Linked DNA regions of Rattus norvegicus. The protein of the gene in region 6 interacts with the protein of the main gene of each other region in a pairwise test. Links are inferred from orthologs where the notes say so. Each region holds a gene or a part of one and is shown on either strand. Other genes may lie near its edges.

Evidence for each region.
Region 1: the proteins of Mtus2 (region 6) and Scnm1 interact in binary tests that used the Homo sapiens proteins (3 or more experiments, as listed by UniProt). The two-hybrid records come from large-scale screens. The link is inferred for Rattus norvegicus from reciprocal best matches to the Homo sapiens genes MTUS2 and SCNM1.
Region 2: the proteins of Mtus2 (region 6) and Rhpn1 interact in binary tests that used the Homo sapiens proteins (3 or more experiments, as listed by UniProt). The two-hybrid records come from large-scale screens. The link is inferred for Rattus norvegicus from reciprocal best matches to the Homo sapiens genes MTUS2 and RHPN1.
Region 3: the proteins of Mtus2 (region 6) and Tead4 interact in binary tests that used the Homo sapiens proteins (3 or more experiments, as listed by UniProt). The link is inferred for Rattus norvegicus from reciprocal best matches to the Homo sapiens genes MTUS2 and TEAD4.
Region 4: the proteins of Mtus2 (region 6) and Kat5 interact in binary tests that used the Homo sapiens proteins (3 or more experiments, as listed by UniProt). The two-hybrid records come from large-scale screens. The link is inferred for Rattus norvegicus from reciprocal best matches to the Homo sapiens genes MTUS2 and KAT5.
Region 5: the proteins of Mtus2 (region 6) and Ccdc198 interact in binary tests that used the Homo sapiens proteins (3 or more experiments, as listed by UniProt). The two-hybrid records come from large-scale screens. The link is inferred for Rattus norvegicus from reciprocal best matches to the Homo sapiens genes MTUS2 and CCDC198.
Region 7: the proteins of Mtus2 (region 6) and Psma1 interact in binary tests that used the Homo sapiens proteins (3 or more experiments, as listed by UniProt). The two-hybrid records come from large-scale screens. The link is inferred for Rattus norvegicus from reciprocal best matches to the Homo sapiens genes MTUS2 and PSMA1.

What each region holds. Positions count from the first base shown.
Region 1 is NC_086020.1:185,390,804-185,395,418, forward strand, and holds the start of Scnm1 (sodium channel modifier 1), read right to left. Parts: upstream 3,020-4,615; 5' UTR 2,909-3,019; coding exon 2,858-2,908; intron 2,806-2,857; exon of another isoform or gene 2,753-2,805; intron 2,640-2,752; coding exon 2,569-2,639; intron 2,307-2,568; coding exon 2,218-2,306; intron 2,122-2,217; coding exon 2,027-2,121; intron 1,923-2,026; coding exon 1,834-1,922; intron 1-1,833. Other genes in the region: Lysmd1 (lysM and putative peptidoglycan-binding domain-containing protein 1), read left to right, coding at 3,820-3,999. UniProt on the Homo sapiens protein: As a component of the minor spliceosome, involved in the splicing of U12-type introns in pre-mRNAs. Plays a role in the regulation of primary cilia length and Hedgehog signaling.
Region 2 is NC_086025.1:109,279,150-109,283,039, forward strand, and holds part of Rhpn1 (rhophilin-1), read left to right. Parts: coding exon 1-21; intron 22-432; coding exon 433-589; intron 590-666; coding exon of another isoform or gene 667-669; coding exon 670-777; intron 778-1,110; coding exon 1,111-1,305; intron 1,306-1,813; coding exon 1,814-1,890; intron 1,891-2,041; coding exon 2,042-2,188; intron 2,189-2,272; coding exon 2,273-2,434; intron 2,435-2,803; coding exon of another isoform or gene 2,804-2,818; exon of another isoform or gene 2,819-2,864; coding exon 2,865-3,038; 3' UTR 3,039-3,890. UniProt on the Homo sapiens protein: Has no enzymatic activity. May serve as a target for Rho, and interact with some cytoskeletal component upon Rho binding or relay a Rho signal to other molecules.
Region 3 is NC_086022.1:163,255,448-163,259,938, forward strand, and holds the start of Tead4 (TEA domain transcription factor 4), read right to left. Parts: upstream 2,896-4,491; 5' UTR 2,387-2,895; intron 1-2,386. UniProt on the Homo sapiens protein: Transcription factor which plays a key role in the Hippo signaling pathway, a pathway involved in organ size control and tumor suppression by restricting proliferation and promoting apoptosis.
Region 4 is NC_086019.1:212,329,511-212,334,174, forward strand, and holds the start of Kat5 (histone acetyltransferase KAT5), read right to left. Parts: upstream 2,884-4,664; 5' UTR 2,879-2,883; coding exon 2,867-2,878; coding exon of another isoform or gene 2,768-2,866; coding exon 2,701-2,767; intron 2,630-2,700; exon of another isoform or gene 2,517-2,629; intron 2,381-2,516; coding exon 2,312-2,380; intron 2,224-2,311; coding exon 2,087-2,223; intron 1,828-2,086; coding exon of another isoform or gene 1,801-1,827; coding exon 1,645-1,800; intron 1,556-1,644; coding exon 1,481-1,555; intron 1,198-1,480; coding exon 1,123-1,197; intron 746-1,122; coding exon 497-745; intron 422-496; coding exon 332-421; intron 1-331. UniProt on the Homo sapiens protein: Catalytic subunit of the NuA4 histone acetyltransferase complex, a multiprotein complex involved in transcriptional activation of select genes principally by acetylation of nucleosomal histones H2A and H4.
Region 5 is NC_086033.1:25,003,614-25,008,214, forward strand, and holds the start of Ccdc198 (coiled-coil domain containing 198), read right to left. Parts: upstream 2,930-4,601; 5' UTR 2,878-2,929; exon of another isoform or gene 2,868-2,877; intron 2,785-2,867; 5' UTR 2,781-2,784; coding exon 2,561-2,780; intron 1,313-2,560; coding exon 1,230-1,312; intron 1-1,229. UniProt on the Homo sapiens protein: May be involved in tuning the metabolism, energy expenditure, and excretion processes.
Region 6 is NC_086030.1:11,744,580-11,747,614, forward strand, and holds part of Mtus2 (microtubule-associated tumor suppressor candidate 2), read right to left. Parts: intron 2,624-3,035; coding exon 2,526-2,623; intron 906-2,525; coding exon 692-905; 3' UTR 1-691. UniProt on the Homo sapiens protein: Binds microtubules. Together with MAPRE1 may target the microtubule depolymerase KIF2C to the plus-end of microtubules. May regulate the dynamics of microtubules at their growing distal tip.
Region 7 is NC_086019.1:177,884,882-177,889,330, forward strand, and holds the start of Psma1 (proteasome subunit alpha type-1), read right to left. Parts: upstream 2,977-4,449; 5' UTR 2,889-2,976; coding exon 2,886-2,888; exon of another isoform or gene 2,406-2,885; intron 1,433-2,405; coding exon 1,388-1,432; intron 1,102-1,387; coding exon 1,000-1,101; intron 892-999; coding exon 788-891; intron 1-787. UniProt on the Homo sapiens protein: Component of the 20S core proteasome complex involved in the proteolytic degradation of most intracellular proteins. This complex plays numerous essential roles within the cell by associating with different regulatory particles.

The DNA.
Region 1 (4,615 bases), on a different chromosome or scaffold from region 6:
CTTTTGTTTATTTGCTTGATATTTGAGACAGTGTTTTTCTGTGATGCCCTGGCTGATCTGGAACTCACTATGTAGGCCAAGCTGGCCTCAAACTCAGAGATCCACCTGCCTCTGCCTTCCAAGTGCTGGGATTACCACCCAAGTGTATCACCACTGGCTGGCTCCAGTTCCTTAAGATCTTAAATATTCTACATATGTAAGACCTTGAAATTAGGAACTTGAGAAAAGCTGGGGCCAGAGAGATGGCTCAATGGTTAAGAGCACTGGCTATTGTTCTTCCAGAGGACCTGGGTTCAATTCCCAGCACCCACATGGCAACACACAAGTATCTTAAACTTCACCTTTGACATCCTCTCACAGACATACATACAGTAAAAACACCAATGCACATAAAATAAAAAATAAAAGGGAAAAAAGGAATTTAAGGAAAAACTAGCTTAATAGTTTGTAATGACTATTCCTGGTTGTCAAGTTGAGAATGTCCGGAATGAACTACAATCCAGAATTGGAGGGCACATCTGTGATCCAGATCTTGAGGTTGGAAGACACAAGTATCTGATCTGGATATTGGCATGGAGATCTTGAGCCACAGTGGCCATGAAAAGCTTAGGCCCAGGCAAGGTAGTACAGGCATTTAATCCCAGGAGACGGGCCAGGAGACCTCTGAGTTCAAGGTCAGCCTGGAACAAAGCAAGTCCCAGATCCAGGAGTGGTGGTCCACACCGTCATCTGAGCCACACCTTCTGTCGGAGGTCTACATAAGGACGTTGGAAGTAGGAAGACTCACTCTTCTTCACCTGCTTGCACTGACTTGCCAGCACATCTGTTGGAATCTACGTCCACAGCAGACCAGCTGAAACAACTAGCCTCATGGGACTGAGCAACTCCTAGGGTCTTGGACTTCCCATCCACAGCTACCCTTTTTTGGGATAGTTGGAATGTAGACTGTAAGTCACCACAATAAATTCCCTCACTATAGAGAGACATTCTATACATTCTGTGACTTTAGAGAACCTGACAAATACAGTTCTAAGTTTTTGTATTAAGACTTTCCAAAGCTAGGCATGGAACTGCTCACCTTCAATCCCAACATTTGAGGAGCAGAGACAGGCAGATCTCTGAATTTAGGCCAGCCTGGTCTAAATAGCAGGGTTCCAGGATAGCCAGGGCAACAAAGAGAGACCCTGTCTCAGTAACAAAGGAACAAAAAAGTGTACTACCATCCACCATTCCCTGCTAATGTTACTAGTTTTTTTTTTTTTTAAAGATTTATTTATTTATTATATATAAGTCTACTGTAGCTGTCTTTAGACACACCAGAAGGGGACATGAGATCTCATTACAGATGGTTGTGAGCCACCATGTGGTTGCTGGAATTTGAACTCAGGACCTCTGGAAGAGCAGTCAGTGTTCTTAACCACTAAGCCATCTCTCCAGCCCCCTCTTTTTATAAAAATGTATTTATTTATGCATTTTTAAATATGAGTGCTTTGTCTGTATGTACATCCTCACACCAGAAGAGGGCATCGGATCCCTTTATGGATGGTTGTGAGCCACTGTGTGGTTGCTGAGAATTGAACTCAGGACCTCTGAAGAGCCCCTTATGTTCCTAAACACTGAGTTCTCTCACCAACCCTTAATGTTACTATTTTTAAGTAGGATTATGCTACAATATTCCATTTCCTAAAGTTTTATTTTAAAATCATTAACTGTCATTAAAAAAAAATTTCCACAAGATTAGTATTTCTCAGAAGACAGTTTGCAGAGTAATAACTTTAAAGTCATCTATTTGCTTCTACCCTTTTCCACTCCTGGCTTTCTCATTCCACTGACCTGTGCTTCCTCCGGCAGCAGCTGTTATAGTGGGGAGCTCTGTGTAGAGCATTCTGGGTGATTATTCGAGTCTGGGTTAGCAAAGGAGCCTGACAATGAGAGAAGAGAGTGAGTCAAAGCTGTCAGAAGCAAATGGCCCCTCATGCCTGTTGCGTGCAGTATAGCCCCGTCTAAACAACACTGATGCCCTCACCTCAGTTTTGCTTTCTGTCTTCAGTTCGTTCTGCGGTCGTGGATTTTGCTCTGTTCCCTTGCCTGACTGCTTTTTTCCATAGAAAAGCTTCAGACCTAGGAAGAAGAAAAGCAAGGGAGAATGAAAAGATTTTGCCAAAATGTCAAGAGTTCATTCTCTATCTCCCGCCCTCCCTACTTCTCTTAACTTACTGGATAGATGCTTCTTGCCTGCACGGTGAGCTGTCAGCATGGCCAGGGTGTCCAGTACTGGTCGATGGGGGCAGATGGCACAAGCAAAGCTAGGGAAACAAGAAAAGTGAATTATAAGTGTGTGTGCGTGTGCGCGTGTGTTTTGTGTTCCAGCCTGCAGTCGCGGTGTACTTGCTATGGTGAGTAGATCCTACTTCTGTCATAGCACTCCTCCAACTCCCAGGTTTCCCAATCTCCACCCCTTCACTTCCAGCCAAAGAATACTATTATACTCCTGAACTCCTTAGTAACAAAAGTTTGTTGAGCCTCTGATCCCCGAATCCCCAGGCTTGATCCACTCTTCGCTCTCACCGTCCATCCCGCAGCATCAGCGCCTCATCCTCGGGGATGTAACTAGCTAGCAAGTCTCCAACTCTTCGTTTCTGCAGGAAGCAGGATAGAAGAAATGAATGAGAGGAACGGATGGATATTAAATAATACAGAGGAGTCAAATGGCACGGGGCCATGCAGATCATAGGGTAGAAAATGGGGTCACCTCTCAGTTCTGGTCCCCTAACACCCTCCCCTAGATGTCGCCAAAGCAACAAACCAAAGCAACAGGGCGGCTGAAGGTGATCAGGTGACTCTCACTAGGGCTTACTTTGAGCACATTGAGCTGACTCCAGTCGTCCCCTTCCCTCTTAAAAGACATCGCGACTATGAGAATATGATAAATTCTACGCCTACTTCGCTGCTCCTTTAGGCCACCGTAGGAAGAGTACACTATCGCCTTCTCTGCTTCCGGTTTCTTTCTGAGTCTGTACTTCCGGGGATGCTTTTCCACGCATGCATCGCGCAAGCCGGAAGACCCGCCTCCAGCGCCCTGAGGGGATCTGTATTTCCTATGATACTGCCTGGACGCTGTGCCTTTTGGGAAATGAAGTCTTTTGGTTATCTATTTTATTTTTTAATTTTTTTGGAGAGAACACCGCTCACCTGGACACAGGTCCTCGCATCTCGAAGGATCCAGGTGTTTGGAGACCCAAGATCCTGTACGTGGAGCCGGAATTTCAGGGTGGGACCCTCCTGAGGTGGAGGGAGGCTTCGGGGGATCTCAGTGGACTCTATATTGCAAACTTGTAGTCCTCAGGCTCGTCCTCCTCAGCCACAACCTACCTGGGGTGGGTTTTATTTGGAACAGAGAGGATGTGGGGGCTCCCGGCGTCCTGACTGTTGGATGTAGGGACACACTGAGGGAAGAGTGTTAATGAGGGTGTCTAGGGTTCAAAGGTCAGAGATCAGGCTTGCGAGGAGTTGGGGAGGGGGCGTCGAAAGTCCACGGGGTCAGCGACTGACAACTCAGGGAAGATATTTATGGGTAAGGGGCTTGAGGAAGAAGAAATGTAACCGGCCTGGAAGACTTCTTAAGATACGAACTGTAATTCCGAGCTCCGTAAGAAGCATCGAGAGGAGGAGGACGAATGTAGTCTCTCGAGAGTCGGGAGACTGAAGAGAAAAGAGAAAAAGAATTTTCTGAATATCCATTCTCTGGGTTCAGCCGTCACTGTTGGTCACTTAGCTGGGCTTTCCTCAGTTGTGACCCTAGATCTTGGAAGTGAGGAGATGGCTTCGCCCTCTAGACAGCCTCCCCTCGGAGGGTCAGGGCTGCTACGTGGGAGCCGTGCTCGTTCTTATGGAAGCCTGGTACAATCATCCTGCTCCCCAGTGAGGGAAAGACGCCTGGAGCATCAATTGGAGCCTGGAGACACCCTGGCTGGATTAGCACTCAAATACGGGGTGACGGTGAGTCTTCCAGGATTGAGGTAGTCCCCAGGAGAAAGTGGGTGGCCCGCTAAGCAACCACCTCTGACATTACCCAAATTATATTATGGCCTGTTTTTTTCTTATTTTGCTTTCACATCTTTGTGTAGTACTATTGGGCCAGATCTGCCCAGCTATCCCAGTGGGAGGAGCAGCTCCCGTGAAGGTGGGTGAGTGGGGGCGGGGCTTTCAGCCATTAACCAGACCTTGTGCCCCTATCAACTTAAGACTGATAAACCAGTTTGATCAAGGTCAAATCACTTGAGTGTCAGAAGAAAGGTCTGTCTGACTCTAAAGCCCATGCTATTAGCCAAGCAGGGGGAAAAATAATGAGAGTGACTAAATCTAAATTTACAGAAGTAAAGAAGAGCTGACTTTTAGTAGAGCTCCTAAGGCGCCTTCTGTAGTTCTTATTTCCACACCAGGGCTCTGCTCTCTTTATGTAGAGAAACAAAACAAGTGCCTTCTACATATCTCAAGTATTTCAGGTCAGACCTAGGAGAGGTTTGATGGACATACAAATATCTTCCGTTAAAGTTGCAGCCTTCCTGTCTATATCCTGTTTTACCACATACAAACAAATGTTGGACTTAGACAA
Region 2 (3,890 bases), on a different chromosome or scaffold from region 6:
CTGGCTCAGGAAGCTACCCAGGTGAGCTCAAGGAGCCCCAGCAAACTGGCCAAGCAGTGGCCACTCAAAGAGTGAAGAGCAGAGCTCAGGGGGACAGAAGGGGGCTGGGTTGGAGCCAGGTCAGGGAAGGCTGGGAAGCCGCCAATGAGGCATCTTCATGGTGTTTCACGTCAATCCCTAAAGCCAGTTGCTGTCCCAGTTTTTGTGAGGTTCTGAGAATGGGAATCGAGCCCCCAGACGCCCAGGTCTGGGCCAGCTCGGAGTCTAGGGAGAGGCTGCTGGAACGGGAAGCGGAATAGATGGAGATCGAGCCTAGGGTGCAGAGGCAGGAAACTTAAGCTGTCTTCCCCGGGTTGACTGGCCCTATCTCTTGAGCTCCGTGGGCCGGGGGGAAGGCAGAGGCTCCATTTGTACCTGCATGCCTGTTGGTAGGTGGCGACCGAGTATGGGCTTGTGCACCGGGCCATGGCCCAGCCCCCCGTCCGAGACTACCTGCCTGCCTCCTGGACTAACCTGGCACGTGTCAAGGCTGAGCACTTCTGCGCCCTGGCCCACTATCACGCAGCCATGGCCCTCTGCGAAAGCACCTGTGAGTGTGGCACTCCACATGCCCGTGTGTACCCACAGAGGTTCCCTGCTCAGGCTCATGGCCTTTCTGAACCCCAGCAGCAGCCAAGGGTGAACTCTCAAGGCAGGAGGACATCTTCCAGCCCTCAGCTACCTGTGAGCCCCAAGGTCCCACACTGCCGCAGCACCCAGAAGAGCGCAGGAAGCTTGGTGAGGCATCACAGACAGGGCCCTGGGCTAAACATAGCACAGGCCCCATCGTCCTCGGCAACCCTCATCCCTGAGTTGGCGGGAACTGATAAGAGCAGGGTTGTTGAACGGGGCAGGCGGGGACATAACTGGGGAAATAGCTCTTTCTTCCCTTGCTCGACTGTTTGGCCTGGCAGAACTTTCCTAGTTTGGCCAACACTGTCTGACCCTGTGGCCCATTCCACTTTCTGATGCATCCTGAGACAGAGGGTCTGGAACTCAGCCTGGAAGGGCCAACTTGCATGCATGGTGTGCGTGCGCATGTGTGTATGACAGTGCCCTGCCTGTGCCCAGCCAAGGCCCACCTGAAGCGTGCCATCCTGGGCCAGGAGGAGGCGCTGCGGCTTCACACTTTGTGCAGAGTCCCGCGCAAGGTGGACCTGCTACAGGTTGTGGTGACTCAGGCACTGAGGCGCTCCCTGACCAAGTACTCAGAGCTCGAGCGTGAGGATGACTTCTTCGAGGCTATGGAGGCCCCCGACATCCAGCGTGAGCATCGGGGGCCCTTTGGGATGGGTATACCAGTCCGAGGGCCAAGCTGAGCCCCTGCAAGCTACAGCTGAGAGGCAGCCAGCCAGCCAGGTGTGGTAACACGTGTCTGTGATCCCAGCCAAGCACCAGATACCCTGAGTCAGGAGGAAAGAGTTGAAGGTCAGGCAGGCTGTGTTGAGGAACGGAGCCTGAGAGGCTATCTGGCCAGCATCCCGTGCCACCTCCTTTCCTGCTTGACTCTTGCAAGGCAAAAGGGGACAGAGGCGCAGTGCCAGCTGGGGTTTCCAGGAGTATTCCTGGGAGCCTCTACATATATTCAGGGAAATAGTACAGCCCCAGCTGACAGTAGGGACAGCTAGGCTTTGAGGTCCTAGGACAGTCCCATGTGAAGTTGTGGGCCACACACTCCTCTGAGCTGAGCCAAATCTCACTGGTGGTTCTGGTTCTGGGAGGGCCAAGGGCCTAGGGCTCGACTCCAATTCCCCTTTCCCTCCTGTCTGGTCAGCCAAGACTCACCAGGCCCCAGAGGTGAGCATACCTAGCCTGTCGCAGGTGAAGGTGACTGACTTCTTCCACAGGCTGGTGAGCAGGCCAGTTCCCCACCTGTCCCTCTTCCCCTTCAGGCCCCTCCCCGGTTCCCGCTCCAGGGTGTGTGGGCTAAGATGGGGTGCCAGACAGATCAGGGCTCTGTGACTGCCACTCAGCCGGCCCTCTACCACTTGTCCCCTCCCAGGGACCCCTATCCGTGTTCTCAACCAAGAATCGATGGCAGTTGGTCGGGCCGGTGCACATGACTCGAGGAGAGGGAGGTTTCGGGTTCACGCTGCGGGGAGACTCGCCAGTCCTCATCGCTGCCGTTGTCCCTGGGGGTCAGGCTGAGGTAAAGGCCCTCTAGCCCCTGATGCTGGGATCTTAGAGGACCATAATGTACTGCCACCGCCTCACTGGTCCACATTCTCCATAGTCTGCTGGCCTGAAGGAGGGTGACTACATCGTGTCTGTGAATGGGCAGCCTTGCAAGTGGTGGAAACACGTAGAAGTGGTCACGCAGCTGAGGAGCATGGGCGAGGAAGGCGTGAGCCTGCAGGTCGTGTCCTTGCTGCCCGGCCCCGAACCACGTGGCACGGTGAGCGCTTGGCCTGGGAAAAAATCCCCAACCCTCAGTCCTATCCAGCCCTGGCCGCGCCCCAACTCTGCCCCGTGGTACCCAGAGAGACAGTGGCCAAGCAACCTTCACTAGGGTTGACTTTCTGGGTACCTCTGACAGGGCCTTCATAGTGTGGCTTCTGTCCTGCTCCAAATGAAGCCCCCAGACCACCTCAGTGGGATTTTGACCCCAGGGTAGAGGTTATCCCAAAGGTCACATCTGTCCAGCATGGCCACTCCAGGGTTGGGTAGCAAGCAGCAAGCAAGGAGCCTCACATGGCCACCCCAAATGCCCCTAACATATCCCTAACACACCTATGGCTCCTAGAGGCCTCTAATCTCTTCTCAGGGTGGCCACAGGTAGGTCAGGCAGTGATGGCTGACTACATCCACTGCTGTTATGACCGTAGGGACCCCGACGGCCAGCACTGCTGTGGAACCAGAGAGAATGTGGTTTTGAGACTCCGACGCCTGCACACACCCGACCCTGGCCCATCCTCGGCTGGAGCCGCAAGAATAAACAAAGCAAGAGTGGGAGCCACCCTGACCCCTGCACCAACAGGAACTGTATCACCTGCCCCTGAGCTGGACACCCCGTACCCCTGTGTGTCCAGGGTGGCCGTGGGGGCCATACTCCTGTGTACACCATCCTGTAGCCAGCCCCAGCTAGCCAGGTGTGCCTAGCGCATTGCCCTCTACTCTGGGGGACCATCAGGCTGCCCCTGCCTGGCTTAGAGATGTCTATTAAAAATGCTGGTCAGATGAGGCAAGTCTGAGTCAGCTACCAGAGCCGTGGCCACTTTACCCCACCCGAGATCTTCTCAGTGTAATCCAGACGCAGTGCTTACACTATCCTCCTGCAGCAGGCCTCTAGGCCCCTGCCATGCCCCATCTACTCTTCGGCTGCCTGACTATCCTCACATCCAGTTTCTCTGGGCACGTACCCTTATGGTCCTATCCTGACTGCGCCTGGTTCATAGTAGCCCTTCTGGTCACCACCCTCCCTTGCTGGTTAGTCAGTTTCTCTGTATGTAAGATCCCAGCAAAGACATTTTCTCTCCAGTCCCCTTATACTCCCCCCAACTTTCAAGCCCCCCTGTCTCCCATTCCACCTGCACCCATGCAGGTCCTGGCAGGTTCCTCAGTAAGGTAGGCCCTGGACTCCAGAGGCACAGGATGGGGGCACCAGGTAAGAAGCAGTCCTAAACTGTGCATGGCTGAAGCCATGGAGATGCTCTCCCTCAAAGGCCCTGGAGGTTCAGCATGGAAACAGAAAGGCTGTATGTATCTCTCTGTGGTAGAGAATGCAAGAAACTCTGGGCTCAGTCCCTGGAACTAGAAAAAAACAGAAACAAAAAAATTAGAGGGGGAGATTGCTCTCTGTGACCACCAGGGGGCAGTGTCACTCATTCATGCAGCCCTAGGAGGCTGCAGCT
Region 3 (4,491 bases), on a different chromosome or scaffold from region 6:
CATAATCCAAAGTGAAGAGCTTCCAGTCCCATCTCTGCCACTCAGAGCTTGTGCAATTCTAAACACCTTATGGTCCTTCCCTGGGTCTCAGTTTCCCCACCCTGGGCCTGGACTTTGACTGAGGATCCTACAGTGCTCAGCAAATGTCCTGAGAGCAGGCAAAAGTAGAAATGAGAATATGGGAGCTAGAGAATTATGTTATCTGGTGGAAGCCTCCCCATGGCACGGGACCCACAGAAAATGCCCAATTCATGTTGGCAAAATAAATATGATACGTGGTGAGGTTGCCCAAAGGGTGCCCAGAGAATAATCACACAAAATCCTCTAGTCTCACATGTTACAAGACTCCAGGTCCAATCCTCAACATGAAAAGGGGAAGAGGGAGGGGGTTGCCAAAGCAAGCTTAGGAAAACATAGGATACACCATTTCCAAGGGCCCTGGAATGAAGGGGAAGGGGGAGGGGGTTGCCAAAGCAAGCTTAGGAAAACATAGGATACACCATTTCCAAGGGCCCTGGGATGTGCTAACAGACGCTTTAGAGACACTGAATTTTCAGAGCAAGCTTTCTGCACTGGCTTTAGTTACTCACCCCTCATTCCCACCCCGCAATGTTACTCATCAGGAAACGGAGCCCAAGAGCCTTAAAGGTAGTGAGTATCAAGATTCATGTCCAGGTCTGTCTGACCCCACACCTGTGTGTTCCCTACCCCATGAGAGCTGCCCTTGTGGACACGGCCTGAGCAGTATGGAATATGAGGTATGTCCCAGCTGACTATCTACATCAGCAGGAGAGAAGGAAAGATAAACACAAGAGCCCCTCCCCCTCACTCCTGACATGGTTCTCTGTTCCTTCCTTCCGAGAAACCACAGCCATCACTTTTGTGTTGTGTTAATGAGGGAGAACCCTGATGCCAAGTCTGTGACTCTCACACCACCGTCCTGTCAAGATCCTGGACTCAGCTACCAAGTCGGAGGCAGCCCTCACCTTCCTGTCACTAAAGCTTTCCTACAGTGAGCTATCAAGTTTCCCCACAGAAACAAGGTCATCTAGCTAACTGTGAAGAATGAGGGGGAAGCTGAGGCAGAGGATATCCAGTTTGAACCCAGCTTGGGTTTCAGAGCAAGACCCTGGCTATTCAGGAATGAGAGATTTTCTTCTCCTCATTGCTTCAAGGTTCCTACAGAGAGAACACTAACACCCCTGTCCTTGAAGGCAACTTTGAAACTCTATCAACCGCCCAACAAACACTATCCAACAACCCATGTGGTCAGCTAAGCCTACGGACTCCAGTCTGTAATTTTTTTTTTTTTTTTTTTTGAGGCAGGAGAATGAAAGCCACCTCCTGCTGGGGTAGTAGGACCAGGCCAGCCTAGACTACAAGAGACTTCTGTCTCAAAAGAAAACAACCTAACAAGCTCCTTTCCTTTTAGAGGGTCCACCCCCATAAACGTTACCAACAACCCATCCTAGCCCCTGGGGGCAAAGATCTCAGCTTTGCTTAGCCTACCAGCAGTTCCCTAAAGGATTCCGCCAGAACAGGATCCACACTCCCTCAGAAAGACAGCTGCCTGGAAGGGGGGCAGGTGTAGGCAGCTTCCTGCCAGCAAAGCTCAACCCAGCAGAGCTGGGGTGAGGAGTGGGGGGCGGGAGGGCCGGGAGGGGACACTTCCAACTACTACTGTCAAATTCTCCCTGAACACAAAGAACTTGGAGACATTGTCCCCTGCTCCGGTTCTGCAAGAAGTCAGAGCCAGAACCAACATCCTCAGAGCGACGAGGGGTGTTGGAGAGGAGGCATCACACACCCACCCGGACACTTAGGGTTTCAGACAGCACCCTCTTCAAGTAGCAATGCACTCACTGTCGCATTGTTTAGCACAAACAAATACACCTCCTGAAAGCAAGGTGAGTCACAGCGCGCAGATATCTCTTCCTCAGGTACACCCAAAACTTAAGGATGCTGGCGCAGGTAAGTAATACCTCGCTTGAACTCACTGAGTGGGATGGATGTGGGTGTGCCTGGAGCCCCCTGACACGTGTGTGCACCGCGGCGCGCCCCTGGGCTGCCTGCTAGAGTAGAGTGCCTTGGAGTTTGGGAGCAATGGTCCATCACTTCTCACCCATAGGGCCCACGGCGTCTCAAACCCTGAGGACCTCTGCAGAAGGTCCAAGCAACACACCTCCCTTCTGTGCTCCCTTCTCCAGGCTGAAAAGTAGAAAAGGGCCTGACTGAGGCTCATCAGTCTCCAACTTCTAAAACTTCTGCCAGGCGACCTTGCTCTGTCCAGTCTCTGGACTCCGCCGCCCCCACGTGCCCCACTGGTCCCCTAGTGCTGCCCGAGACCATGCAGGACGCGGATGTCGCCCGAACTCAGCAGCCTTACCGGTCCCAGGGTTCAGGAGGCGGGGTGGGAGCGCTCGGCCGGCTGCACCAAGTCCACGCGGGGGGCCAAGTCTTCCAGCCGCGGCGACGGCTTCGGGGCCCGAGCGTGTAGCTGAGGCGGTCCCCACCCCCGGGGCCGGAGTTTGCAGAGGAGCCCGGTAGGAATGCGCGGAATGGGCGCTGGAATGAGACGCGCGCGGCTGGGGAGGGAGCGGAGGGAGTGGCGCTGCCACCCGCACCTTAGGGAGGAGACCCGGCCTGAGAGAGGCTGGGCTCCGCGGCTGGGCGGAGCCCGGGGGACCGCGGGCGACCACGGGACGGGGCACGACGGAGACACCCGAGAACCCCGCGGACCCCTCGGCGCCTCTGGCCACTCGTGCCCACACGCCTTGACTGTGATCTACGGATTTCCCGCTCACCTCCAGCTTCCCACATCCCCGAGTGGCATTGAATCCCTCCACCACCTCCTGCTAAAAACCGTCCCCTCCGCCGGGGTGGGGCGCGCCTCGCTGTGCTCCTGGAGTACGCGGACCGGAGCAGGAAGGGCTGTTCCCTTCCCCGAGGCTGCTACGGAGGACACTCGCTCCGGGAGCAGGAAGCAGGAACTCCCGGCTCTGCTCCCAGATCCGCCACCGCTTTCCCTCTCCAGCCCTCTCCAACATCAGCCTTTCAGTTCTTTCCTTGTCCCTTGGGATCTGCAGAACTGTCACTTCTCAGAAAGCAGGGAAGAAAGGGGAGACCCGTCATGGACTCTGTTGTAACTCCATGAATCTTTATCCTGTGAATAGGTCCACCGGATGCTGGGACAATAATAAAGAGTGGGTCCCAGCAGTGGTTCACAGAGAGCTGGAACTTAGCTGCTGATGACCCAGGGTCCGGGACAGCTTGGCCATGAAGTTAGAAGTCTGAGTTTCAAAGAAGTACGTCAGATCAATTTAGAAGAAACACGTGGGCTCGGGCTAGGAGTCTTAGAACCATTTGGCTTAAAGCAATTAGTTACTACCTCGCTCCGGCACTCACCTCTTCACTTTGGGAAACTTAAAATCAAAGAAAAGCCTTTGCTATTCCCCCCAAATCAAACAATCTCTGAAGCACTATCATTAAATTTTTATTGCCGTGGCTCTCCCAGTCTGATCTGGTGAAACAAACTCTGGAAGGCGGCAACTCTCCAGATCTATCTTAGCGTTTACCCAGCACGAACAACTCAAGATGGAGATGGAGGTAATAAATGAGGGAAGGATAGCCTGGGAGACGTTGAAAAGTAAGTGTTATAAATGCCAGGGTTGTACCTAAGAGAGGGGATCTAAAGAGTCTGCGGAAATGCCAGCATCATGGGACTGAGAATCCCGTCTTACAAAGGGAAGACTTTGAAGGATTGCAGCCCTCGTTTGGATGTATAAATTCTGGTATGCTTATTAAATAGTGAGTCATATCAAAGCTTGGGCACATCCCATTCGCATGAAAAGGACATCGCAGGGCAGCGTATCTGTGAGTGTAGAGTACAAACTGTCCCACCACTTAATCCAGCAGCCCTTCCTTGACTCCGCTGCCAAGCTAAGTGCAGAAGCCCCTGCCTTCAAGAAGTTCACGGTTGAAGCAAGACAGTAATTGTTAATGCAAATCCACATTCAAGAACAAAAACCAATGCAATTCAAGGCAAAGGGGCGACTTTAACCAGTTTGATGTCTACTCCCAGCCCTGTGTGTGCTAGGCAATGCTCTACCACCGCGCTGTGGCCCCAGCCTTGATGTGCTTTGGTTTCTGATCAGGTCTATTAGAGTTATTCAGGTTAACCTTGAACTCTGTCAGCTGCTCCTGCCTCAGCCTTGGGATAGATGACTCCATCTACAGTACGGGTCTTTGCTTACCACATCTGTGGGGCGACCTTGACTCAGCTCTTGATGGAAACATGAGTTTTACCAACTGGTGTTTCAGGAAGGTTTGATGTGTAGAAAAAGAGCCGAACACCTAGTAGGTGTTACACACCTGTGGTGTGGTACACACCTGAAATCCTAGCAGGAGCTTAAAACCCGGCATGAACCAAGATTAAGAGAGGTGGGTCCCAGACTGGGAGGCTCATACAAGCCGTACTGAAGATGTGGCCAC
Region 4 (4,664 bases), on a different chromosome or scaffold from region 6:
ATCTTGAACTCAGAGTTCTCTGAGTGCTGGAATTCTAGGCATACACACCTCCAAGCTCCTGACAGCTTCCTCTGAACTCTGCTAACCCAGCCTTTGTTTCCGATACTCCTCACACTGGGATCTGAATAGCTGGTATGTCTACTTCTGCCATGGACAGTGACCTCTCCGGGAAGAGAATGTATCTAAATGCCAGTGTTCTGTGCATTCCCCAGCTCTACGTCAGGCATTCAATAAAAACAGTGAACTAATCTATAGCCAGAGTGGTCAACTGTTCTGAGCAGGAAAAGGTTGTTCATATGATGTATTCCAGCCCCATGCACAAGCCACTGACCTTGTTTTTCCGCCCATCAATCTCAAAAAAGGAGATGGTGCCCTTGCGGTAAATTTCATTGCCTGGAGGGTGTCGAAGATCACATTTGGTCTAAGGACAAAAGGAGGATCAGGTGGGGACTGGTGAGGGTACACTGGGTAGGCAGCCTCCCAAGACCCTTCATACCAAGTGGCGCTGCAGACACTTGAGGCTACGGCCATATTTGAGGCAAAATTCGCACAGGTAGAGGACAGGTAGCGTGGTAAGCTCTTGAGGGTACGGGGAGAAGTACCACGGCTTGAGGCGGTGCCGGCCAAGCTCAATACACTCAATGTTCTTCATCCGGGTGACAATGTCGTCGTGGCTCCGGTCAGACACCAAACTGCCAGTCATGCGTGGTGCTGACGGTATTCCATCTGAGCTGTCCTGAGAATCCTGCCCAGGGCAAATGGAAAATACCAGATAACAGCAGGTAAGCAGAACATGGCTCACAACACTGCCGTAGGTTTCTTCCTTCAAGTCTACCATCAACTAAGGGGCAAGCATCATAATCTCCACTTTCCAAAATAAACCAAGAACCAGAAATTGGTATGGTAAAAAAACAAAACAAAACAAAACAAACAAACAAACAAACAAAATAGCCCAATGCTTCATCTGCTTGGCTCCCAACCAACACCCTCACTGCCCAACCAACACCCTCACTGCCTAACTAACACCTTGTTTGCTTTAAATTGGTCACTGAATGAACTCTCCATGCCCAAGTCCACTCCCTGTTTCCCAGCTTCCCTCTTCCTCTGCTCCTTGATACCCACCTCATCAGTGCCCAGGCAATTAGATTTCCGCTTCCGTCCTGGCTGTGCTGCCACTGCCCTACGGGCTGATCCATTCTGTGGATGACAGAAGAAAAAGGGTGACCATGAGATGATCCTGGAGGAGGATGCTAGACAGAAGAGGGGGGAAGACCAGACGGGCTGTTGGGGTGGCTTAGTGGTTAAGAATCCCGCTCTTCCAGAGGTCATGGGTTCCTTTCCCAGCACCCACATGGGGCTCACACAACTCTAGTTCAGTGCATCCAATGCCCTCTTCTGGCCATTGCACCCGGCATGCAAGTAGAACATATGACTATCACAGACAAAACCTTCATACATGTAAAAAGACTGGAAGACTCACCTGGGGGAAAACTGAAGCTGGGGCTGTCTCGCTGGGCACTGGAGTTGCTGGTGAAACCACCTCCACCTTCCGTTTCTGCAGAGAGAAACCAGGAAAGGTGGGTCAGAAGGTAGAGAAGGTGGGACCTGAGAAGAAAGCAAGGTCCCTGGAATTGCTGAGGGTACCGTTGAGCGGTGGTTGGGTTGCAGGCAGGAGCTGGAGGAGAGCGGCTGGTCAGGCTCGCCACCTGGAATGGCCTCCCGCTCCTTGGGCAGGTTGAAGCGGAGTGTGATCTGGACCGGGATTGGCAAGGTCTTCCCGCTGGCCTGGGCGGAGGCCGGCTGTAGAGATAGGTCCAGGGTCTTCCTCTGGGGTGGGGATGGTGGTGGGATGGCGAAGGGGAGGATGGGCCCCTCAGCATGGAGTGATCAAATCCCACCCTCTGCCTTCTCTAAAGCAAGGCAATACTGGACTCTGGAAGCTACACCTGCAATTTGGTCCCCATCCTTTGCAAGCTGAAGCCATGGCAAAAGAATGCTGCCTCCTGCCCATTCAGGAACCCCTGAGGCCAAGAGATGCAAGAAGGAAGAGGCAGGAGAGAAAAGATGAAATGGGGGACCTACTCACCACCTCTCTTTCGGGAGAGCCGGGGCGGGACCCAGGAAGTCCGTTCTTGGTAGGTGTCTTGGCTTCTTTCTTGGGAAATTGGATCTTCTTTAAGTCCAGCCGCTCGTGAGTCACCCATTCATCCAGACGTTTGTTGACTGCAGCAGTGAAAATGGCTCAGGAGGGATGCCAGAGGCTGCCCTCAACCCTATCCAGCAACCCACTTTTTCCAGGCCCAGAACTCACAATCAATGTAATGGACATAGAAAAGCTTCCGGCCACTGATGTCCTTCACGCTCAGGATCTCAGCCAGGGCTAAGGGAACAACACAGACAGGGGGTCTTAATCAAGGCAGATCATGAGACTCCACCCTTCGACCTGAATTCCACCTCTAGGCTGGATGTCTACGTCCCAGCACTTAGAAGGGCTAGTTCAAGACCCCTTTAGTCACCAAGTGACACCTCTCTCCAAGCCCCGCCCGGATCATCTCCGTACGTCCAAAAGTCACGCCCCTCCTTCCGAGTATCTGCGACCGCCCCAGGATTGCAGAAGCCCCTCCCCCTCCCGTGTGATCGTTGACTCCCTCCCGCCCCTCGCCCTCAGGTTCCTTGGACCCGCCCCCCGACGTCACTCACGCCACTCATCTTCGTTGTCCTGGTTGCGCCGCAGCACGGGCAGGCGGCAGCCCTCGATTATCTCCCCCTGGGGAGACAGCGCGGCGCCAGGGTCGGCTACTGGGGGGCCTCGGGCTCTACCCACCTCCCCTGGCTCCCTCCGCCCCGCCCCGGGCACCGGACTCACCACCTCCGCCATCTTCCCTCCCTCCACTGCCACTTCCGGCCCCTCTGGGAAACGTCACTTCCGGAGCTGAGTGCGCTATAGGCCCGAGCCCCTCGAAACTGCTTGAGAGGAAAACACTTGAGAGTCACTGCCAGCTGGTTGGTAGTAAAAAGCGGGCCCGGTTGAGGAATGGAACAACAGGGCGTTGTAAGCCTGAGGCCAAGTACTAGATGGAATCCCTACTATTCGCACAGCGATTGGAGGAACGCCGAGTCTGTCACGTGACGCCCACCGGGTGCGACGCCGGTCACTCAGATCAAGTGTTTATGCTTTGTCTGGCCGCAGTGTTCCGGCGAGCCTCATAGTGGCAGTGTGAGGTGTCACCCTGAGTAGGAGGCTAAGGAGTTGGGTTTTGGACCCCGGGGAATCAGTAGAACCGAAGGAATTTAAAATTCTAGCCAGGTGTCTGCATATTATTGCACAGGCTTGGGGACTTAGCAAGATTTTTTAGTTCTTTGGTCTTTTTTTTTTTTTTTTTTTTGGTTCTTTTTTTCGGAGCTGGGGACCGAACCCAGGGCCTTGCGCTTCCTAGGCAAGCGCTCTACCACTGAGCTAAATCCCCAACCCCTGATTTTTTAGTTCTTAATATTGGATTTTTATTTTTAAAATAGTATATATGTGGCTCTATAAATGGAAAGGTTCAAAATTCCAGTAGTCATTCAGTCAACGAGAGTGGATGTCTCAGTTGATCTTCATTGTACATCAGAATCCCAAAGAAGATAATGACAGTGAAGGAGTGGAGTTGCCAATGAGAGTGAGAACAGGTAGGCAAAGAGTAAAAGCAGCTTGGCGGTAGTGGCAGAGACAGCCGAATCTCTTGAGTTGAGGCCAGCCTAGTCTACAGAGTCAGTTCCAGGACAGGCAGGGCTACACAGAGAGACCCTGCTCTGGGGGGTGGCAGGGAGAAAAAGCTTCATGTCTTTACATTAGTTTCCACCAGAAGGTGTATCTTCTGACTTTGAGTAACAAGAATAAAGGTGTGTTCTCCCACCTCAAAGATCTGGATTACAAGTGGGTCTTCCACCAAGCAGTCTTCCAGCATGGGGGAGGCAGAGGCAGGCAGATCTCTTGAGTTCGAGGCTAGCCTGGTCTACAGAGCAAATTCCAAGACAGCCCGGGCTACACTGAGAAATCCTGTCTCCAAAACAAAATAACAACAAAAACCAGTGGGTCTTCCTGCTTCAGACTTGGCAAAAATTGTTCACATGTGTGTTTTTCCATTTTTGGGTTTTAGTTAAATCCAGATGTAGTCAAATGGACAACCAAGAATAACTATCACAGATATTTTTTAAAAGATTTATTTATTTTATGTATGTGAGTACACTGTAGCTGTCTTCAGACATACCAGAAGAGGGCATCAGATCCCGTTACAGATGGTTGTGAGCCACCATGTGGTTGCTGGGAATTGAACTCAGGACCTCTGGAAGAGCAGTGAGTGCTCTTAACCACTGAGCTATCTCTCCAGCCCCACTATCACAGATAGTAATAAAGTGCCTAGGGCGGGGGAGACCCTTTGACCTTTGTTCTAAATGTTACCAGTTTAAATGGTTCTGGGTCCATTCGGCCACTCTGAGAAGAGTTTATATGCAGAAGTAAAGGAGGGGTCTCGGTTGCATCACAGGAGCATTAATAACAGCACTGGGATTTGATATCTGTGTAGACTGTGTTCAGCATAGAAGTACTGAAAAACCAGTAGACCTTTTGTTATTGTTTGCTTTGAGATGAAGTCGGACTTTGTAGCCCTGCTTGGCCTGTAACT
Region 5 (4,601 bases), on a different chromosome or scaffold from region 6:
TGAAATATCCATGTCCTCTTTTTGAATTTAGGGGAATCAAAACCTAACCTTATCCTATTTAGGATAAATATTAAAATTATTCTGTGGTCTAGAGAGTACCATATGAATATATTTCTCTGGTTGTAGCTATTTCTTCTGTTTGAGTTAGCCAGTGTCAGGGACTCATAGGGACATGTATTAAATACTCCCTTGAGAGGACGTACTTAGTTTAGGAATAAAGTCGGCTTTAGGATTCTCAGCTAAGCTAGAAACACGCTCATATTTTTAAATTAGACGTTGATAAATTACATTTACCATTTACTTTTCTTGAACTAAACATTATCTTTGCACTTTCTAAAATTTCTGGAAGAAATGCTCTTTTGGAACTAAAGGTAATAATCACTTCATAGTAATTTTGAGTTTTCAAAGAAGACAAGTCCGTAAGAACCGACTGAGACAACAGTCCTCAACAAAGAACTCCATTAACCCCTGGAACCAGTCTGGGCATCTGGCTGAATGTGGCAGGCAAGGGTTTGACTACTTCCTTTGTTCTGCTCACAGAGAACCCCATAGACACTCTTTTCCAAGGACCCATTCTGATCTCTTTCTCTTTTTAGGATGAGCTGTCCTATTGGAATTTATACTTCTCTAAAGGGAATAATTTTAAATCAAGGTGGACGCATTAAAAATTCTTTCTCTGATGTCCCTTATTCCCCTATCCCCTCTCTTTCAGTCAGTCATGATGTAGCCCTGGCTGGCCTTGAACTTACAGAGATCTGCTTGCACCTGCTTCCCAAGGGCTAGGGTTAAGGTGATGCACGACAATATCTGGCTCTAGAGTCCCTAACTTCAACAACTGCTTACAACATCTAGGATGATTAAAGGATGGGACTAAGGGGAGATGGAGACATTTACACCAAAGGGTAGAAGTATCAGAGGCCTGTGTAGTGTTTGACTTAAATAGTTGTAGTAACTGCCATTTTCAAATGTTCAGCCAACCAAGTGCTACATTTGGGTCCTTTAAATCTCTGTCTATTTCCTTGTTCACATCCTTTTGGGGAGGGGGTTATGAGCCTCAGAAGTGACATCACTGCTAAAGGAAATTCTAATACTATGGCCTTTGCAACCGTCAATATTCTTTGTAACTGCATCTCATTAACAAGGCATTTAAGGTTCTTCTATGATTATGGATGAAAAGGGGTGTAAGTTATTAAAGACATTCCTTAAGAAGACTTTTAAATTCATCTTACTTGAATTCTTCGGGGTGGATGCCTTTTGATAATACTCGTTTCTTCATGTTTCAGTGGGATGTCTAGATACACGGCCCTGGATACTTGAAAGATTGGGGGGAGGGGCAATAATAATAGACCATTAATTTATTGTCAAGTTAGGCATCCAGGGTGACTATCTACACAGTTTGCATCTTTCAATTACACACGCCTAACTCACTGGTTGGATGCAGAGAGGAGACACACAGAGCAGGGCTCCTGCACGAATGCAGGTGACAACATTTTAGTCTGATTTATTCTTTCTGTATCACCCCGGGCTGGCAAAAAAATGCAAAGTTAACTATGTACTGGTCACAGGTATTACTCAAACACAGAATTTAGCCTGGAAAATAGAAACTTACCGATTAGTCTTAAGACATCTCCCTCTGTACTGGAAATGAAATCCAGGGTCTCACATGTACTAGGCGAAGTGCTCTATCTCTGAGCTGTAACTCCAGCTCACAAGTTCAATAGCATGAAATCCTCCCCCATTCCCCAAATGAAGGGAAGAAGAGTCCATTTGTGTTATTGATACGGAGTGTGAAGAAGATAAAAGATGACACAAATGTATGGAATATGTAACCAGATAACACATGTAAACATGGATTTCTCATCCCAAGTCAGCATATCTGTTTTAATTATCTTTATGGTCACCAGGAGACATTTTTACACATCATAATCAATATCCAAGAACAACTTGCAGCCACTTTAGGCCCAGAGCTTCCCCATCAGTGTGGGAAAAAGTTTCTTAGTTCTGTGATGACCATGAAGAACATGGGGTTAAGGAAGGGTGACTCACCCACTGTCTCTCGTGTAATAAATCAATTCTGTTTGGGTTGGTTTCACAATTCGCATTGGAGAGGGCTACTCCTACACTCCTCCTACTCTCAAAACTATAAAGCCTCATGCATTAAGTCCCCATGGAGACAACAGCTTAAATTTAGACTCCCAACTGAAGCACTACTGTCACCATTTAGCACATGTGGCCTTGTAATTTCTGTGGCCTTTGCGATTGTCAACATTCTCTGTGACTGCACAAGGAAGTGGGCATAGGCATTGAAATCACCACAGACTCAGGTGAAACCAGACGGTGTTCCCTTATACAGAAGGGTGAAAAGCACTTTATCCAGAATTGATACAAGCATTAAATTTAACAGAAGACATTCATCTGACAAGCAATCAGTCCTCAGTGAAAAATATTCTCCTACATTTCAATAATCTAGATTTCCAGAGATCATGGAGACAGTCATGTAAATGTACCACAGCCCTCCCAAGTCCCAGACATGCAGCTCTCATGTTTGGTTTTGCCATACCTGCAGGGAGTCTTCCATACCAGGTTTCTCTAAGAGGTGGTAGCTGTTCCAGAGTTCGATTTTGCTCCTGCAGTCTCGTGAATGAGTATGAACTTTTTTCTTCCAGGTTCCGATTCAATGCAAAGAACACGGGGCAAGTTGAGGGTGTCTTCGCTTCTTGGCTTTGTAAAGGTGTGACTTTGATCACCTGAGGGTGAGTCTTGGAGTGGCCCAGGCCCATGTTCCTTGAAATATTGAGAAGAAAACCATGATGGAGAGGGCTTGAGAGCCTTTACAGAGCTTGATTTAAGTATTTTCAGGAGTTTACCTTGGCTTACCAAAGCAGGTGTTTCCTTCATGACATCCTCCCTGTTCTGTACCCCTGACACTAACTTCTCTGGCCACTTCCTGGGAGGTTGGTTTCCATGGAGACTTCCCTTCAACTTCTACTTTGCCATTCCAGAACTAAAGAATGCAGTTAAACATTGACTTGGTTATTCTACTCTCTGAAAAACTCAGTTACATGGAGAGAAGCTTTCATTGATCATTAAACAAGTATCCAACCCCAGGCCATTACCAGACACACAGAACAGGGTTTTAGAGAAGTCTTAGAGGCCCCCTTTCATAGTAAACATGTTAGGAAGTACTAACAACCTGGATAAGCTAAGTTGTTAGAAATGAGAGGACAGATGCTAATGAGTTAGGGCTTTGCTAATCTATAATTTTAATTAGAGAATATGTCTTCCAGTTAGGAAAAGAAGCAGGGGCAGATAATGCTTCATCTGATTTTTCTGTCAATGATTTAAGCTACCTTTGAAGGAAATGAGTACATTACAGGAGAATGAAAAAAACAGTAAGGAAATTTTCCTAATCTCCCTGCTGGGAATGAAGGAACAAATTTCTTAAATAACTGATCCAAATAAAAACCATTTTCAAATAGATCCTATTTATTATGTCCTTTTTTTTCAAGTAGAAAAGAAAATGGAGGGAAATGTGCCAATGTCTTGAACAGTGGGCTTTGAGTAATGGCGTTATGGGTAATTTTTATTTCAGTCCTTTACTCAGAATGGAACTCATGTCCATGTTTGAATTGTTCATGACCACAGATCACAGGTGCTTTTGGCATACCTCCATAGAGGACTTAAAAATATTTTCCATGTTGTGAAATCTATTTGCTAAAGAGCTATCATGGTGATTAGGAAATGAGAAATGAGACTCAGAAAGGATTAATTTCTTTGAAAGCTACATCCAGTGCAAGTGTTTATTGTTTTCTTTGCTATTGTTTTGTTTTCTTGTGTGTGTGTGTGTGTATGTGTGTGTGGTTGTGTGTGTACATGTTCAGGCCAGAGGTCAACCTTGAGTGTTACTCATCTAGACATCATCCACCTTGTTCTTTTTTTAAAGACAGAGTTTCTCTCCCATTGACTTATTGGGTTGGGTTGGCTGGCCAGCAAGCCCTAGGGATCTGCCTGTTTCTCCCTCTCCAGCATTGGTATTATAAATGTACACTACTGTGCTTGGCTTTATATATGGGCTATGAGAATAAACTCAAGACCTCATGGTTTCCCAGCAAACCCTGGACTGACTGAGCCATCTGCACAGTCCTATTTTGTCTTCTATGACAGTGTCTTGCTGTGTAGCTCAGACTGTCTTTCAGGTCATTGTGTAGCCCATGGTGGTCTCAAATCGATGATCCCATTTCTTTCCAAGTGCTGGGACTATAGGCATTGCCATCATACCTTGCCAGGGTAACAATTATTAAGAGGAATGGCACAGAGAAAAGAGGGTGATGAGGACTTGGGGAAGATGAGAAGAATCAGGAAGCAAGAGCCAAATATACCATTTCTAAAGGTGTTCAATCAAAGCCCCTAGCCTAGCACAGCTCCACAGGCAATGTGGCCTGGAGATTCCCAAGAAAAGTACAGGAATTGGTAGGGTTAGAGCTTGGGCCTTCGCCGCTCTAACAAGCTAGGCTGGACCACTCATCCTTAATAAGCCAAGAGTGAAAGAAAGAAAAAGGAGATTTATCCAATGTGGCCACATTAGGAAAAGGAACAAAGAG
Region 6 (3,035 bases):
CGCGTTGGACTAAGAAGCTAGTTGCTCCAAAGGCGGTTACCATCTACAAATCGCTGGTGTTTAGGGTAAGCAGGGTACCACTTGGTCTCATGCTTGCTTGCTTGCTTTTTCTTTTTTCTTTTTTTTTTTTCTTTTTTCTATTTTGGGTAGAAATATCTCCAGGAAACTAGATAGAAATGCGTTTTTCATTTCCCAATAATTCTTAGGCACAAGTTAGAAAACTGCTGACCGTCGCTAAAATATGTCAGCGCATCGTGTGTTATATATGTATATATATATAAAAAAAAGCAATTCGGAGTCGCCGCAGGTGTGTACCCACGCATCTGAATACACACCCGCAGCGGTGCAAGGAGGGTTTTCGAGTATTCGAAAAACGGAGCTGTTTGTGGCTGACCTAAAGTTCCGCTGCGGAACTCCGTCTCTCAGGAACAATTGGAGCTGTTTCTCTTTTGCTTCTAACTATACTAAAGCATTTTGTTTTTGTTTTTGTGTTTTGCTTTTGGACACCAGACTCTGCTGCTTACGCCTTCCTAAGCGCCAATACCAGGACGGTCTCACACGAGGGTCAGAGAGGACTCTGCCTAAGATGCAGTATGCAGCTACTGAGCATGCGCACAGGGCAGCCACCAGCACCGGCCAGCACTCCCTCGGACGGACAGAAGCTTGAGCTCCTGTGGGTGGCAGGGTGATGTCATCTAGGTGTGGTACTGACTCTGGCTGGAGAGGAGGGTCCAGAGGAGGAGCCCCTGTACACCGGAGATGTGGGGGAGAGTTTAATCGGGCTGGTCGGGTCCCCAGTCTGGAGCTTCCAAAGTAGTTCCTCGTTGGTTCGGCTCAGTCTCTTCTTTTCCTGGGTCTCTTTCTCCACGTATTCCTGGAGATTAGCATTTTCCTCCGACAGTTGTCTGCGTGGGGGAGAATGGTAGTTAGCAGCGGGAACCATTGGGCGTACTAGTGACAGAGGCTGATAGGCGGAGGCCGGGGGCAATTCCCCAGGCTCGCAGGTCTCTCTGCTGGGTTAGGGGGCAGTTGTGCACAGAGCAAAGAAAGGCTAGAGGCTGGAGTAGGAAGTGGGGGAGATGGTAGGTCACGTGGGCTGCTGCTACAGCCCATAGGAGGGGTTGCTATGGAGATTGTCTACGGCTGTGGTCAGGGTACTGACTAACAGCGCCAATCAGCCGGGAATATTTTCCCGTTACCTCCAGCCCTGAGTACGTGCCTCTGCGATTGAAGTCATTAGCTCGGCTGTAGAGTCGGTCTGTCTACATGTCTGTCTGCTGGACCACAAGTCCTAGAGGGCAGGGGTCAAGACTCTGTTATGTTCTTGGCTGGCGTTCAGCATGGCATCCAGAAAAATAGATGTTTGATCACCGTCGGTTGATAACGGGGGTCGGGGGTGGGGGAGAGAAAGCAATCGTGTGTGTGTGTGTGTGTGTGTGTGTGTGTGTGTGTGTGTGTGTGTGTGATGTCATGGTGCTTAAATTGCTGGCTTTGCTGCGTGTTTTTGGTAATTTTTGTACTTTATGTGTGTGTTTTGGCTGCGTGCATGCCCGAGAACCATTGCATGCAATGCCTGTGGAGGCCAGAAGAGGGCGCGGGTCTCCTGGAACTGTTAACTCTAACAGATAGCTGTGTGCTGTCAGGTAGGTGCGGGGAATCAAACTTGGGTCTTCTGGAAGAGCAGCCAGTGCTCTTAACCACGGAGTCACCTGTCTATTTCAACTTGTGTTTTAGAGAGTGATCGCTGCTTTCAGGAATCGGCCAGAGTAAGTACAAATACATTTTACAACTGGATGGGCTAAAGTCCCAGAAAGGTACTCTGGGCTGACGCCTGCACTTGCTGTCTGAGGAAAGGTGGCTGGGTATGTGTGGGCGTGTGAACAAGTGGCATGCCAGTGTATAAGCATGCACGTGCATCAGTGTATGTGTAAGTGTGAGCACGCGTGAATGGATATATACATGAGTGTGTGCACATAAGCATGGGTGTACACAGGATAACATATCATAGCCACACCGAGGAGTCTGGTCCAACAGAATGGGAAAAGGCGAAGGCCTCCATCTCACTCGGGCGACTTAGCCTTGCCCAGTATAATAACCTGCAGCCAGCCACAGACGCCACAGACGTTTTCACTGCACTCTGAGCTGGGGTCAAGAGTGACCCAATCCTTCCTTGAAAGCAGGAGCCTATAGGGAAGAGCTGACCCGATTTTCTGGAATATTGGGGTTACCTAGCCATGGTTCTCTTTAGCTGGGGACTTTAGCTGATGCTCTTCTCCTAATCTCTGGGATGAAATCTTCCTGCTCTGGGGCCCCTGCTTCCTGGGCTTGAGGTCCTCACTCACTTCTGGGGAACGGGGCCGGCTGGGATGCAGAGCTGGGATGTGTACCATGGGGTCACGGCCATCTGCTTTTCTTCTGATCAACTGAGAGGCACCAGGAGATTGTTCAGACTGGATACTGGGACATGCGGATGTTCCGGGAAAGCCACTTTGAGAAGGACGTAGTGAGAAACTGGGCTCACCCACCTGGTAACAACCGTGTTCTGGTCGATCCTCGCTTTGAGGTCTTCGTTCTGCTGCTGGAGTACCTGGATCTTTTCTTCCAGGATGATGTTCTTTTCCACCTAGGAAAGAGACACCAGTGAAGAAACTCCCACTGGATCAGTGGCCTTGGCTTCTGCACTTTGGAGGGTTTCCAGGAACAGGACTTTGCTAACCGCTCTGTGCAAAGCTTTTGTGGGCGGGAAAATCAGGGGAGATGGATGAGGGACCAGCACTGCTCTTTTCAGAAAGACAGAACAGAAAATGCCAGAGTGTGCTCTGTTGGTAGTAAAAAGCACTGTGGTACATAGTTTAGACTCTCTCTCTCTCTCTCTCTCTCTCTCTCTCTCTCTCTCTGTGTGTGTGAGAGAGAGAGAGAGAGAGAGACAGACAGACAGACAGACAGATAGAGAGAGACAGAGAGAGAGACAGAGACAGAGAGAGACAGAAACAGAGAGACAGAGACAGAGAGATACAGAGACAGAGAGAGACAGA
Region 7 (4,449 bases), on a different chromosome or scaffold from region 6:
ACAGAAGAGTATCCAGCTCTTAGGCATAAAAGGCTTGAAACAATATACATGTCAACAAGTATCACATCTAGGGACTTTCAAAACCATTAGGTTTAATAGCACTGTAACAATTAGGAAATATGGGGGCTGGAGAGATGGCTCAGTGGTTAGGAGCACTGACTGCTCTTCCAGAGGTCCTGAGTTCAACCAGCAACCACATGGTGGCTCACAACCACCTGTAATGAACCGATGCCCTCTTCTGGTATGTTTGAGGACAGTGAAGCTGTATTCATATGCATAAAATAAATAAAATCTTAAAAAAAAAAAAAGGAAATATGGGGTTGGGGATTTAGCTCAGTGGTAGAGCGCTTGCCTAGGAAGCGCAAGGCCCTGGGTCCTGGGTTCTGTCCCCAGCTCCGAAAAAAAAAAAAAAAAAGGAAATAGAAATACTTAGTTACACACCCAAGCCCACTAAGGTATTTACAATATTACAAATTTTAATATTCTGGGGGCTAGAGAGATAGCTTAACTGTCTCAGAGGTTCCTGAGGTCCCAGGTTCAATTCCAGTATCCACATGGAAGCTCATAATCTTCTGTTACCCCAATACCAGGGGAGTCTAAGGTCTGAAGAAACCAGACACACACTAGTGCAGACATACATACATGAAGATAAAACACCCACACAAATAAACAATTAAAAAGTATAATATTCTGGGAGATGACTTCCTATATCTTATCTAGGTATTTTTTAATAAAATAGTCTATTAAAAACGAAAAGCGATGCTTAATTTTTCATAATCATACATACCATAACAGTCTGGCATCAGCAGTTAGACCCGCAATTGAGATACCAATATGGTTGTCAACGTGGAGAATTTTCTTCTGGTGAGCGGCAAGCTCTGACTGTGCTCTCTAAATAGACACAGCATTTTAGTTTGGAGGTTGATTATTTATCAGTGAAATTTACATTTGATAGCTCTGGCTCCTGAGGGAGGAAGATAGGGTCATCATGTCACTCACCTTCAGCGCGACCAGCACTGCATGTGTCTTCGACTTCAGGCCGACTGTCGCTGAGCCTTGCTTTACAGCTTCCATTGCATATTCGATTTGATGAATCCTGCCCTAAAGACAAAATAATATTTTTCACTTTTTGAAACCAATAAACTAATTTTAATTCTAACTTTAAGCTTGTAGCCCATAAGCTCACAAGCTTTGTTTCCTTTTTTAAAATAGGGTTCCACTAAGTTGCTCAAACTGCCCACCAACTCCATGATCCTATGGCTCTGGCCTCCTGACCAATTAAAAGATTACAATGTGAACCTCCAAGCCCAGTTTATGATCTCACAGGTTTCTGACCCTACTCCAGCCATGAAAAGTCACTTCATTAATAGGTCATAAAACATTTTACCTGAGGGCTCCAAACAGTGACATCGTTGTCATACTGGTTGCGAAACTGAAAGTGGAAGAAAGATTAATATGAGAACATTACAATTTTCAAATTTTAACAATAAGACATGTGTTTCAATTGTTGAAGCCTCTCTGCTAGTGCAGCTTTCCTGAGACACTATTAGAGTGCTCAGTTTGCAATGCAATTCTACCTTAATCATGTACAGGCTGTCGGGATGAATGGACTAGGGTCTTCCTACCTTCATATTCTGCCATTCTCCATAGCACTTCCCTCGGGCAGTCAAGTGCTAAAGAATGCACACTTTGCTCATACTACTCTCTTACACAGGGCTCTAATAATTTGGCAAAGGGCTTTTCTTTAAGTCGACTTAAATGTCTATCTCTTGAAGGTTTCTTCTTTTTTCCGAAAATTCTCAGCACAATTTTCCAGCAGAGCTAAAGTCTCATGCAGCCCAGTTTGGCCTTCATTTGCTATATACCTGGGAGAATGATCCTGAAGTCCTGCTTCAGCCTCCCAAGTGCTCAGATCACAGGTGTCTGCCATCATGCTCAACTATATATATTTTTCCCCCTTCTCTCTCTTTCCGACTCGGATTCTACACTCTGGCTGTCCTGGAACTCACTGTGAGTTAGGCTAGCCTCAAACTCACGAATTCTACCTGTCTCTGCCTCCTGAGTGCTGGGATTAAACTCAAGCACCACAACACCCGGTCTTTTACATACCTTTTTATCTTTATAGTATGATTAAAGTTACGTTTGGCTTAGCTTTGAGCTTTCTTCCTGTACTTTACCACTGGATGAACAAACACACGAATTCTCAGTAAAAAGGTGGCCACAAATAGCTACCGTGGCAGAACCACTATAGCTATAATGTCATTACTAAAGCAAGTTTGTCGGCCCTTGGGAGTATAATATTCATGAGGGTAAAAAGACCAAGAGTTTGCATGGCAGACTCGACAGAAGCAGCCCAGGGCCCTACGTTGTAAACCTGATTCTATCACTTTCTCTTTCATCTCTAGGTAACAAAACAAAATGATTGTATGGAGCCTTTCCCTACGGCACTCTAATGAGACGGATAAAGCCAAATACACCCACAAGGAAGATGAACTTGGTCTGAAGACCTGACTGCAGGCTCTGGTCTGCACTGACGATGCCAGATGCACCCTTTCACCCCTATAGTCTCTCTCCTATGCAGATCACGAAGGACCATACAGCATCTTGGAATAGGCCACTTAAGTAAATTGGGAGGGAAGGACGACTGGCTGGCCGAGAAAGAAGCGCCTGGACCCCATGCAAAGTGGAGAAGCTGCGCGATAGGCCGCCTAGGTTACTGATCGCTTCCCGCCGGCCAGGCCGCAGATGCTGAATCACTGCAGGAGCATGTCCGTGAGGTAAGCTCCCTCTCCCACCGCCCCGCGCCTCAGGGAACAGAGGCCGATCCCCGACCAGGTCAGCTGACCTCAGCCCCAAACCCTCCGAGGACTCGGGGCTCAACACACCATAGCTCCGGCGAGGTTACAACCAGACACAGCAGCGGACACAGGAACACGGCCTCAACTACGGTTCGGTGATCGTCAAAGAAGGCTGCGGAGTCTTCACGGCGCCGACGCAGGAAGTGCAGTCTATCCCAGAGCCACGGATCAGCGTTTAACGCTTCCCCGCCCTCCAGCTCTGGGTGGGCGGGGCCTGCGAAAGCAGATAAAATGGGATTGGTGGGAAACCCGGGAATGCCTGTGCGCAGAGAGGGTTGGGGGCGTGGTTCCATGTCAAGCGCTGTGTTTCCGTGTTTCCCCCCTCCCCCCCCAGTGGATTGCAGATTCCCGCCAACTCTCGGTCCACTCCACTGAACATCGCCCCCAGCTAGGGATGGTGTGGCGGACCCGCATAGATTTCATCACAGTGCCCAGAGGTTTGGGAAGCAGCACGACTGAAAGAGGTTGCAGAAAAAGCCACAGAACCATTCATTCTCTCTCTCTCTCTCTCTCTCTCTCTCTCTCTCTCTCTCTCTCTCTCTCTCTCTCTCCCTCTCCCCCTGTCCCTCTTCCCACTCCCCAAACCCTCTCGTGTGTGTGTGTGTGTGTGTGTGTGTGTGTGTGTGTGTGTGTGTGTGTGTTCGTTCGTTTGTGGTCCTGGCCCCTGAATATCTTGAGTACTTGGCGAGCCCATCCTTAAAGGCTCCTTGGTGTCTCGTGGTCGTATTACTCATTTTGTGATCATTAGTTGCCATTGTAGGACCAGGTTTCTGTTCTGATATTTGATTTTCGCTGTCCACAACCAAATGCCATATATGATAGATTAGGCCACTAGGGGGAAGGTGCGAGTTTTCTTACGGATTTTTAAAGAGCATCTTTTGATTTATCCCCAAACGAAATCAAGACAGTTCTGTGCTCACTGATCTACCTAACATCTACAGACTGCCAGTTCTGTTGAAGAATAGAGTCAGGTCTTTAAGGATCTGAACTTCAAAGGAGGAGTAACACATCACTTAAATGTCTCTGTTCACAGTAATTAGTATCACATTCTAAATATCTTTATGTATGTGTATATATGTACATTTTTTGTTTTTACATATGTTTTTTGTGTGTTTGTGTCCCTGCATACACTTATGTGAAAGTCTGAAGACAATGTTGGTGATTATCTCCTTGCACTGTGTGGATTCTGGGATTGAACTTTAAATTGATAGATAGGGCTGTTTTGTTTGCCCAGCACCAGCACAGTGCCTAACACATATTAGGTAAATAATTTGTATTGCTGAATGAACAATGGATTTTGAATGAATGGGTAATTAAATGCTGATTTTAAAATAGTTGGGGAACCGACTGCAGAGTGCCATTTACAACCATCTGTAACTCTAGGGGATCTGGCTTCTTCTGGTTTCAGCGACACTTGTGCATACATGTTGTGCTTCTACATAGGTAAAACACTCATATACATAAAATAGTTTTTTTAAAGCACCCAAATTAGCACATCTACTTTTAGGATTTCTTTTTAAAAATGTTATAAAAATCTTCACAATTCTTTCCTATAGTCATGTGCCTCACAAATATGTTTTAAAATAAGATT